Saccharomyces cerevisiae S288C: one gene and its partners. The protein of the gene in region 3 purifies or fractionates together with the protein of the main gene of each other region. This does not show direct contact. Each region holds a gene or a part of one and is shown on either strand. Other genes may lie near its edges.

Region 1 (3,761 bases), on a different chromosome or scaffold from region 3:
TATTTAATCTTGTTTTCTTACGAGTTTCTTTTTTTTTCTTTTTTTATTTTCTACTTTTGCAAGGAACAGTGACCTTGCCAATAAATAATGAAGACTACTTGGGTTACTAGAATATAAAATACATGTAAAAAATTCATTTATGGTGTGAGTGTGCGAGCGTGCCTGTATACATCTAGCAGCTTGCTTATTTCTATTTTATGTGCATGGAAAATATATTATCACACATCTTACCATCTCATCATGGACATGTCACTTCTGATTCTCATGTAATCTAATAACCCTTCAATTTGGCCTGTACCAGCAATAGCAATATCTTGGTCCCATAATCTCTTACCGGCCCAAGCCTTAACATCTTTGACTGTGATTGCATCAATTTTCTTGAAAGCCTCACCCAGAGACAGTTTGGAGCCCTTGATTAGGACTTCTGCGCCTAACAAGTTAGCGTCATTGACGGGATTACCAGATTCGTATAACTGCCCTAATTGTAATTTCAACAGCGATTTGGCACGTTCAACTTCAGTATCAGTGACAGAAATGGTCAATCTGTTCCATTGTTTCAAAGTGAAATGGATGAGGTCGTCAATCATGGTAACGTTTCTCGTGGCCGTAGAGAACCCCCATAAACCGGAATCTTTGTAAGAAAGAGAGAAATGATTGAAATTGTCGCATAATTGGTACTCCTGTATGTTGTCTAACAATTTGATACCTTGTAATCTAGAAGCGGGTTCGAAGGCGTTGTATGAGCCGAAAATTTGGGCGGCTAATTTAGCAACAAAATAATTTGGTGAATTGACAGGTTCACCTTCCACAGCCAGCGAAATCCACGCCTTTGGCAAGGTGTCGTCTCTCAATCTAACTTCGGAACCCAAGAAAGCGGCCTTTTTCTTGAGTACGGGCTTGGTACCGGTTTGCAAACTTAGGTTTTTGGATTCGATGGAATTTACTAAATCCTCATGTTTGATATTACCGGTACCAACAACAACAGCATTTGAATTCAAGAAATGGTTATTGGCAAAAGATTCCAGATCAGCAACAACTAAATTCTCCAAGGACTCCAAAGTACCTCTAGTAGGCAAAGATAATGGAGTGTTTTGGAAGGCGGTGGAGTGTAAATGTTCCAAAACTCTGTTGGGATGGTCGTTTTCTTCAAAATCTTGAACTTGCTTCAAGACAGATTTCTTCGTGGCCTCGAAGTTAGAAGAAGATAGCAAATTAGCCTTTTGTTGGATGAAAGACTGATTCAAGAAGTCTAGTGATTTATCGGTAGAACCTGGCAAAGAAGATACAATGTAAGATTGGAAGTCTCTGGAGATATTGGAAGACAATGCCAAACCTTCCTTGGCGGCAACAGCAGAGTTTTCTTTGGATAGAAAGATGTTCTTCCATAAATTGGAAACCCCGTTGTTATAAGGGTTTTCGTTGGCAGCACCGGAGCCGAAGACAACACCGACAGAGGCTGTGTGAGCGGAAGGATTATGCTCAGTGGCTACAACTATACCGTTAGATAATTGCGTTACTTCGGCCTTGGGGGTTGCTACAGCTGTAGCCAAAGACCTCTTGAACTGGTTAGATACAGTCTTTGAAGTTACTGTTCTTAGCATTTTTTTTGTTTATATATCTTGTGTTTTCTTTCTCAGTGATATGGTGACGATGATGTTCTTCTCGTATTATTACTCCACAATTGTCTTGATCAGCAATGGTAGCAATTTAATATTAGGATTCGTTACCTATACGAACAGGGATGATATAATATTTTTTCTGTGAAAGCTATTGCTTTATTATACGCTGTTTTCCTCGAATAAGACGGGGAAAGAGAGTAGGGGAATATCGGTTAGGGAGCGCTGTAGGCCTTTAATTTTCTTGTTTGGTTTTTATTTGGTGCAGCTGACAGCGCGGGCCCTTGAACTTCTGGAGGACAAAAAACACTGTTAATTTATTGGCATTTCATTGGTGCAGAAAGCGTGCTGTCCGGGTCACAGTTAAAGTTCATATACATGTTACCCTACCCAGTCCGGGTTATGTAAATCGTGAAAAAGAATATCTGGTTTTAAAATCTCTCTTTTCTTTTTCCCCCTGGTGGGTATGGGTGAAATGCTAGAGAGGCAAAAAAAAAGGTTGCCAAGTAAAGCGAAGTATTTGAAGTATACTGCAAGCATCACCGAAACAGGAAATCACGAAGCTGACTCATCTGTGATTTTCCGTCCCCACCATAGTGATGTAACATGCAGTAACGCACGGCGGGCCGAAAGTCGGACTTTACCCCAGATTTGTAGTTGTATCCTATTGGATCACGGGCGACGGACAAGACCCGAAGTGCGGACCGGCATGGTCAGCTTGCACGGAAGCTTTAAGGGTTTCCCTTGTTTCGGCATTAGAAGAGGCATTTCGCACGTTTTACCGGGTCAGAAACTTCGAGGAAGCTGTGACAATTGGAAAAAAAGGCAAAACTAAATGCAATGTATCCGGTTGCCCATGCATTATTTGTGATGTTTTCGGATGTAGTTCGCTGCGCTCCGCGGCGATATATCCTCTAGCGAGAGGCATATGTATAAATATATATATATATATCTAACAAAAGCATTCAAGTTTCTTTCTCTGGTGTTACGTCTTTGTTCGACTTTCTCTGCTTACAGCCCTGTATGACCAAAGAAAAAATAAAAAGACAGCTACATACCAGCAGAAATTTTTTATAGTATTACACTATACATCCAAGTTTTTTCACAATTATTTATTGTTTTTCTCACATAGAAAATTCCGCATACTGCGATTATAATGAACTCTACAACCCCATCGATTCAAGATCAATATATTTTGGCCAGCAAAGTACGCTCCAAGCTGGCAAAATGCGTTAGCGTGACTACTAAAAACAAAGACTACAACCTGAGAGTTTTAGTCGGGCACGCAAACTTGCTGGATAAGATTACAGAAAATGTGGAAACTCATAATGCTGCAACCAACGCCCTTGCCGGAGACCCTTTCAGTAAAGGACCTGAAAACTTGTCCATCGAACATATCGAATTGTCCAATGCTAATGCTAGTAAAAATGACGTCGGTAAGGAGGAAAATGCAGAAAAGACGATAGAAAGTGAAGATTACTGTGATTTTTACTCTAGTGACGAAGATCCAGATGCTGACACTCTATCTTCTACTGACAGTGAAGACGATGATGATTATGAAGACTATGATTTTGAGTACGATTACTCTGGCGGTGATTATAACAAGAAAATTGACATGTACTTTAGTTTTCACACCGCACCTAATTATCAATATTTGACTCACACAAACTCTCATTCCGAGCAGACGGATGAACTTGCCGAATCAACGCCGCGCTACAATGCTCTTCCCGCCACTGCCTCTACGACAGAGGAAGAACAGGACACTGAAACGCTCGATGCTGTGAGTTTGCATAGTTCAGCGCCAATCTTCCGTGTGCTCTCTCGGCGGGTAAATGGACAAGAAGATGACAGCGAAAACGAGAGTAGTAGCGATGTCGACGATGGTTCCGTACCATTAACGAGATTTCATTCTTGTCCTATCACAGCATAAATTAAAATGAAGGAAATAACACAACTTCGTTTTGCATTATCATATTCACATCTGCATCCTATTTTTTTTTTCTCATTGTTGTTGTATCATTATTACTAACTAGTGCATCACCACTTGTCTAAATACCAAACGCAAAATATATATATTCTTACTTCATAACGTTCAAAATAAAGTTTTTAGTTTAAAATAAAATAAAATAAAAAAAAAAAAAAAAA
Region 2 (2,918 bases), on a different chromosome or scaffold from region 3:
GGACAGATATTCCAGATGATTTAAAAATATACCTACAGCAAGATGAATCGCTTTAGCATTAAAAAAACCCCTTCGGTACGTAATATAAAAAATTTTATAGGTAATATACATATATAAAAATACTTCAATCATTTTTACAATCTTGTATACTTTATACAACATGTGAAATCTTCTGCTTCTGGACATCAATATTCAAATACAGGCCAATCTTAGGTAAAACATTTGGAGAAAAGAAGGATAAGGCAGGACGAGGGAAGATAAATAGTTTCGTTAATTATAAATACATGCAGATAAATAAAGGAATATCAAATATTATGAATAGAAAAAGAAGATGGTGAGACAAAAAAGTAGTAATAAATAGGTCCAAATCTTCTTTATTTCCCCTTTCTTTTCTTATCCTTTTGTTTTCTCCATATTGTATAAGAATATATTCTTAGGAAAATCAACAGGGAATACAGTATAGTGATTTTCGTTCCTTTTTGAGCGTAATCCCTTCGAGACTGTGATGTTGATTATTTTTGTTGTGATTTCAAAATTCTTAGGTTAGTTGTATAGTTCCCGTTCATAACATAATGGATAGTAAATGAAAAATCAAAATAAGGGTGAAACAAATAGACAATAAAGATGTAGTTTTCGAGGACGAAAAACAAACCTAACCAACAATGACCTTATCACCATCGAATTCATAAGCAGGAATTTCTAAGTTTAAGGGGGCAGGTCCCTTTCTGATTCTACCGGAAATATCATAATGTGAACCATGGCAAGGACAGAACCAACCACCAAAATCACCGGCTTCACCAATTGGAACACAACCTAAGTGAGTACAAATACCCAGCATAATTAACCATTGAGGGTCTTTGACTCTGTCAGCATCGGTCTGTGGGTCCTTCAAAGCGGACATATCCACACTGTTGGCTTCCTGAATTTCATGAGGAGTTCTGTGTCTAATGAACACAGGCTTACCTTGCCATTTGACAACCACGTTTTTACCCAATGGGATAGCCGCTAAATTAACTTCAACTTTAGCCATAGCCAAAACATCGGCAGTAGCGGTCATAGATGAAATAAAGGTTTCTACGGTTGATTTGGCACCTGCAGATGACAAAAGACCCATAGCACCGACCATAAAGTAAGCATAAGAACGGCCTTTATCAGCATCGTTATTTTCCTTTAAAACGTCATCAAAATTTGGGGTCCTGTACGTGGATTTGCTAGCCAGCAAAGATTGAGAAATCAGTCTTTTGGAAGTTAAAGACATTGGCTTGAAGCAGGTCTTGACAGATGATCTTATTCCTAACATGTTTGTTATTGCTCCTTTCGGTTTCCTAATAAGTGTTAGAGTGATATTATTTATGTTCAATAATTTCTTGGTTTTTAAAAGACGTTGAACTTGAAAGCAACAAAAAGTTACGACAGAGAAGTAATATATTACTTGATATTCAAGAACCAACTATAGTTCTTGCAGGTCTTTTTCCAGTCCTTATAAGGGAGCCTCCGCGTCGCCGCACGTGACCCAAGACCGATAAATGGCGCAAAACGCTGATTGGTCCGTTATGGAGTGTCTAAAAGGAAAAAGATGCGCTATGGACGAACCTGAAAGAGGCCAAATGATAGGGAAGCTTAGAGTGAAAGGTGGAACAGGAGAAGTTGAAAGGATGAAATACACAAGATGACAAGAAGGCTCGAATTAAAGGCGGCTAGTTATTTCAATTTAGGAAGCATTTGCTCTAAGAGTCGATGGGTCGTACTTCATGCACATTATATTACGCATGAATAGCCGCCCAAGCTATATGAACTTATTGGTGGATTTTTGAAACCAATAAAAAGGATTTATGAGAAAGAATAATCTTCCTCTGGGGTATTCATAGCTATCAACGTATGGTTACCTTGTCTTAGTCGGACACTGGACATAACTCTTACAATGGCTGTTAGCTTCTCAATTGACAATGGTATTTAATATACCAGGCGGTTAAAGAAAGGGTAGGTATTTTTTTCTACCTAGTTCAGTTTATATGGATGAGACAGGGATAGACGGGCATGTACGGAGTTTTTCGACTTGATCAGTGCAATCCACTGATTATCGTTTTATGTAGGTATTTTCTTGAGTTACAAAATTTTAGGGAAAGTATGGATACAACCAGAGAGCCGATGTGGTGTTTTTTTTGGTTTTTAGTACATGCAGTACGCTTCTTTTTCTATTTCCTGTATACTTCCTTTAAGCGTATTCGTCGTTATAGGTTCTATTTGCTTTCAACTGAACGCGCTTGCCTGAACGCCTAAAGCGGAAAGAAATACATGACTGAAAAACAGACATTCTGGTCGCAACTCAGCGAAAGGGAGGGTAGAAAAATATATTGTGTTATAATGTCAGCGTTAGCGCATTGCATATTGCACTAGCCATTGCCACGTAAAATGGCAAGACAAGATGAAACGGACTGCAAAAAATTGGATAGCAATTCGGCCTTTTTACCTTTATGCATAACATCTTATAGATCAAAAGATGAGGCTGAGAAGCTGGTAAGTTGTCTTCATCACGAAGGAAGTTACTTTTTATGTTTTAGCTATGGATTGTATACCGGAACGTCCAACGAATTGAAAGCGAAGGTTGAGTTCGCTTTAGATGGACCGTTCGTTGTTAACTACGCAACTGTACCGATGTTCATGTCAGCTTCCTTCTGTCACCTGCTAATGTTTAACGACGGTTCCATTAAGGGATTCAAATGCGAAAATAACAAATTTGAAATTATCTACGACTCTAATGTGGCTCCGAAACTGGATACTATTTCTTTATTAACTTCCAGCTGGTTAAATGCTTCCTTTGAGGGTGTTTTATACACTTGCAATAAAAACATATCATATGATAGTGATTTGCATACGTTATGTACGACAATTTACTCCTTTGACTTCAGAGAAGGAAT
Region 3 (2,972 bases):
AAGAAAGAGCATTCTTTTCTTTTTTTTGTATATTTTACCATTGTTTGGTTGTAGGAAGCAAGGGTTGAGGCCTAGACGGCGCAGTTTTTTGCGGGTTCTTTGCTGCTGTTATCTCGGTCAGGTGTTGATCGTTAGCAGCTATTTAGCGTGAGGTGTACAGAGGCCGCAGGGCTTTGTGCTGCTTCCAAGCAGGTCTTGCCGGGCGAATCGGTGGGCCGGGACGGCTCTGACAGTTTCGGGAAATACCCGAGAGTGAGCGGTTTGTTTTACTTTAATTGGCCATCGAAAACAATAGCTTAACAGTACAAAAGGCAAATAACATACAAGTAGTTGTATATATGTACATATCTACACATACATGCGCTCTTTCCATCTTTTTTTTTTGTTTTTTTAGATCTTTTCTCCGGGTTTCTACTTTCATTGGTTTGTTTTCTGCGTTACGTACTATTATTTTTCAAATGCTATATACAAGCGCCATCAGTGCATGGGGGAAAAGCGAAGAGGGAGAGAGAGAGAGAAAGAGAGAGAGAGAGTAGGTTCTTGTGTTGCTCATTTTTCAAGTAGTCTTTTCTTGACACTACACCAGACGGCGCACGCAGCGGCCACCATTGCCGAGGAATAACCCATGGGTTTCAAACCTTTTGAAGACTTGAACAAAGCGCCCGTGAGGGCCCCAGCGCCAATGGAGCCCGCGGTGTCATGTTTGCCTCTTAGTGCATCTATTGTAGAATTGATGATATTGTAGCTCAACGCGAGAATCCCCGCATTATTACCTAAGAAGGGACCTCTCTTAGTAATGTGATTCAGGACGGTGTTCAATTGCAATTTTCCGGGACTATTGGGCGGAATATTCTGCAGACCCTGCATCATACCAGAAAACCCTCCGATACCAAGTCCCAGCAGGTAGACGGCACCGGTACCGTAACATAGGTCATCGGTCCACCCACGGGAAGGGATCAGACCCTGTGAGCCTTCTAACGAGGATAGTTGTTCTTCTTCCAGATCTAAATACTCCACACCCTTGTCTAGACCAGCCAAAGGATGCAGCCTAGCGGTGTCGACATGCATTCCACCAGGACCTGATATTATGTTATTGATGTTTGGCTCGAAACCTAAACTCTGCTTCAACGATAGTTCCTTAGGCTTGGTTGTATCTTGGCCGCCCACGGCAGCATTCGCATCATCGGTAGGTGTCTTATCTCCAAAAAGCCACGACATGATTGTGTGTGATCTGTTAAACAAGTATACCTATATTATCTTGGTTATTTTTTTTTTTTCTATCTGCTTTTGTTAACGCTATAACGTGTAGTATGTACAGGCAAAGAGAGTAGAAGAGGAAAATGGTCTTTTTTTTTTTTTTTTCTGCAATGGAGGGCGAATGCAATAACCTATTATTTCTATTAATTAAACGCAACAAATGTTTCCCTTTTGCTCTACGTAAAGGTTCCTTTCTCTCTTTTTTTTGTCGGTGTCTTTTTTTTTTCAGTATTTTCTCTTTTTTTCAATGAATCGTCGATTTCCTTTTCTTCCTTTTGCGATTAAATTATTTTTACCCAGCTTTAGCAAGCCAGTTCGTACGCAGCGACTAGCAAACAGCCGGGTAACTCACATTTTGTTTGCACACTTAAAATACCCATACAGAACCATTATATATGTTGGGTTGAATTGGGACCTAATGTGCTGCTCAGGTGCCGCGTATATCATGACACTTATACTTGGTGGGGAATCGCCCGTCAGGCCTGAACGCAACGAACCCGCGCATGCATCGACGTCACAGTGAGCTCAGGCCGCATCACGGCCGTTACGCCCTCCAGAGTCACCACGACTGCGACTAGTATCATCCGTCAAGAAGAACAAGAACAAGAACAAGAACAAGAACAACAAACTCCGGGCACATCTCTCGGCTTCAGTCGCTTTCGCTCATTGCCTGTAGGTTGGCCCGATATGCGTTGACGTTATCCAAAGGGGAATGCTTCATCTTGTTGAACAACGCCCAACAATTTCCACTGCCCACCGAATCGTTGCGCCCGTTAAAATCTTCACATGGCCCGGCCGCGCGCGCGTTGTGCCAACAAGTCGCAGTCGAAATTCAACCGCTCATTGCCACTCTCTCTACTGCTTGGTGAACTAGGCTATACGCTCAATCAGCGCCAAGATATATAAGAAGAACAGCACTCCCAGTCGTATTCTGGCACAGTATAGCCTAGCACAATCACTGTCACAATTGTTATCGGTTCTACAATTGTTCTGCTCTCTTCAATTTTCCTTTCCTTATTCTACTCTTTTTATCCCTTTCGTACAGTTTACCTGAAGATAAAAAACAACAAAGCCAATTCCCTAATTTGCAATCGCCATTTGCATCTATATATATATATTTGTTGTGCCATTTTTTTATCCTCTGTGAGTGATCGGTGCATGTGTTTATAAAAGTTTATTCATTCTACTATACGAACTTTTCCCTCTGCCCTTCCCTCCCGCTTCATCCTTATTTTTGGACAATAAACTAGAGAACAATTTGAACTTGAATTGGAATTCAGATTCAGAGCAAGAGACAAGAAACTTCCCTTTTTCTTCTCCACATATTATTATTTATTCGTGTATTTTCTTTTAACGATACGATACGATACGACACGATACGATACGACACGCTACTATACTATACAAATATAATAGTATAATAACCGATTCGTCTTCTAGCTTAATTTTTTTCCGTTCCCGAAACAGCGCAGAAAATTAGAAAAAATCAAGTTTCTACCATGAGCGAAGAAAGCTTATTCGAGTCTTCTCCACAGAAGATGGAGTACGAAATTACAAACTACTCAGAAAGACATACAGAACTTCCAGGTCATTTCATTGGCCTCAATACAGTAGATAAACTAGAGGAGTCCCCGTTAAGGGACTTTGTTAAGAGTCACGGTGGTCACACGGTCATATCCAAGATCCTGATAGCAAATAATGGTATTGCCGCCGTG

The links.
Region 1: the proteins of TIM23 (region 3) and COR1 purify together in Saccharomyces cerevisiae (affinity purification with western blotting; 6 studies listed by BioGRID, with this or other methods). This does not show direct contact.
Region 2: the proteins of TIM23 (region 3) and RIP1 purify together in Saccharomyces cerevisiae (affinity purification with western blotting; 3 studies listed by BioGRID, with this or other methods). This does not show direct contact.

Annotation. Positions count from the first base shown.
Region 1 is NC_001134.8:133,916-137,676, forward strand, and holds COR1 (ubiquinol--cytochrome-c reductase subunit COR1), read right to left. Parts: upstream 1,602-3,761; coding exon 228-1,601; downstream 1-227. Other genes in the region: YBL044W (uncharacterized protein), read left to right, coding at 2,083-2,451; ECM13 (Ecm13p), read left to right, coding at 2,773-3,546. UniProt on the Saccharomyces cerevisiae protein: Component of the ubiquinol-cytochrome c oxidoreductase, a multisubunit transmembrane complex that is part of the mitochondrial electron transport chain which drives oxidative phosphorylation.
Region 2 is NC_001137.3:105,642-108,559, reverse strand, and holds RIP1 (ubiquinol--cytochrome-c reductase catalytic subunit RIP1), read right to left. Parts: upstream 1,301-2,918; coding exon 653-1,300; downstream 1-652. Other genes in the region: YEL023C (uncharacterized protein), read left to right, coding at 1-56; YEL025C (uncharacterized protein), read left to right, coding at 2,413-2,918. UniProt on the Saccharomyces cerevisiae protein: Component of the ubiquinol-cytochrome c oxidoreductase, a multisubunit transmembrane complex that is part of the mitochondrial electron transport chain which drives oxidative phosphorylation.
Region 3 is NC_001146.8:661,159-664,130, reverse strand, and holds TIM23 (protein transporter TIM23), read right to left. Parts: upstream 1,219-2,972; coding exon 550-1,218; downstream 1-549. Other genes in the region: acetyl-CoA carboxylase ACC1, read left to right, coding at 2,757-2,972. UniProt on the Saccharomyces cerevisiae protein: Essential component of the TIM23 complex, a complex that mediates the translocation of transit peptide-containing proteins across the mitochondrial inner membrane.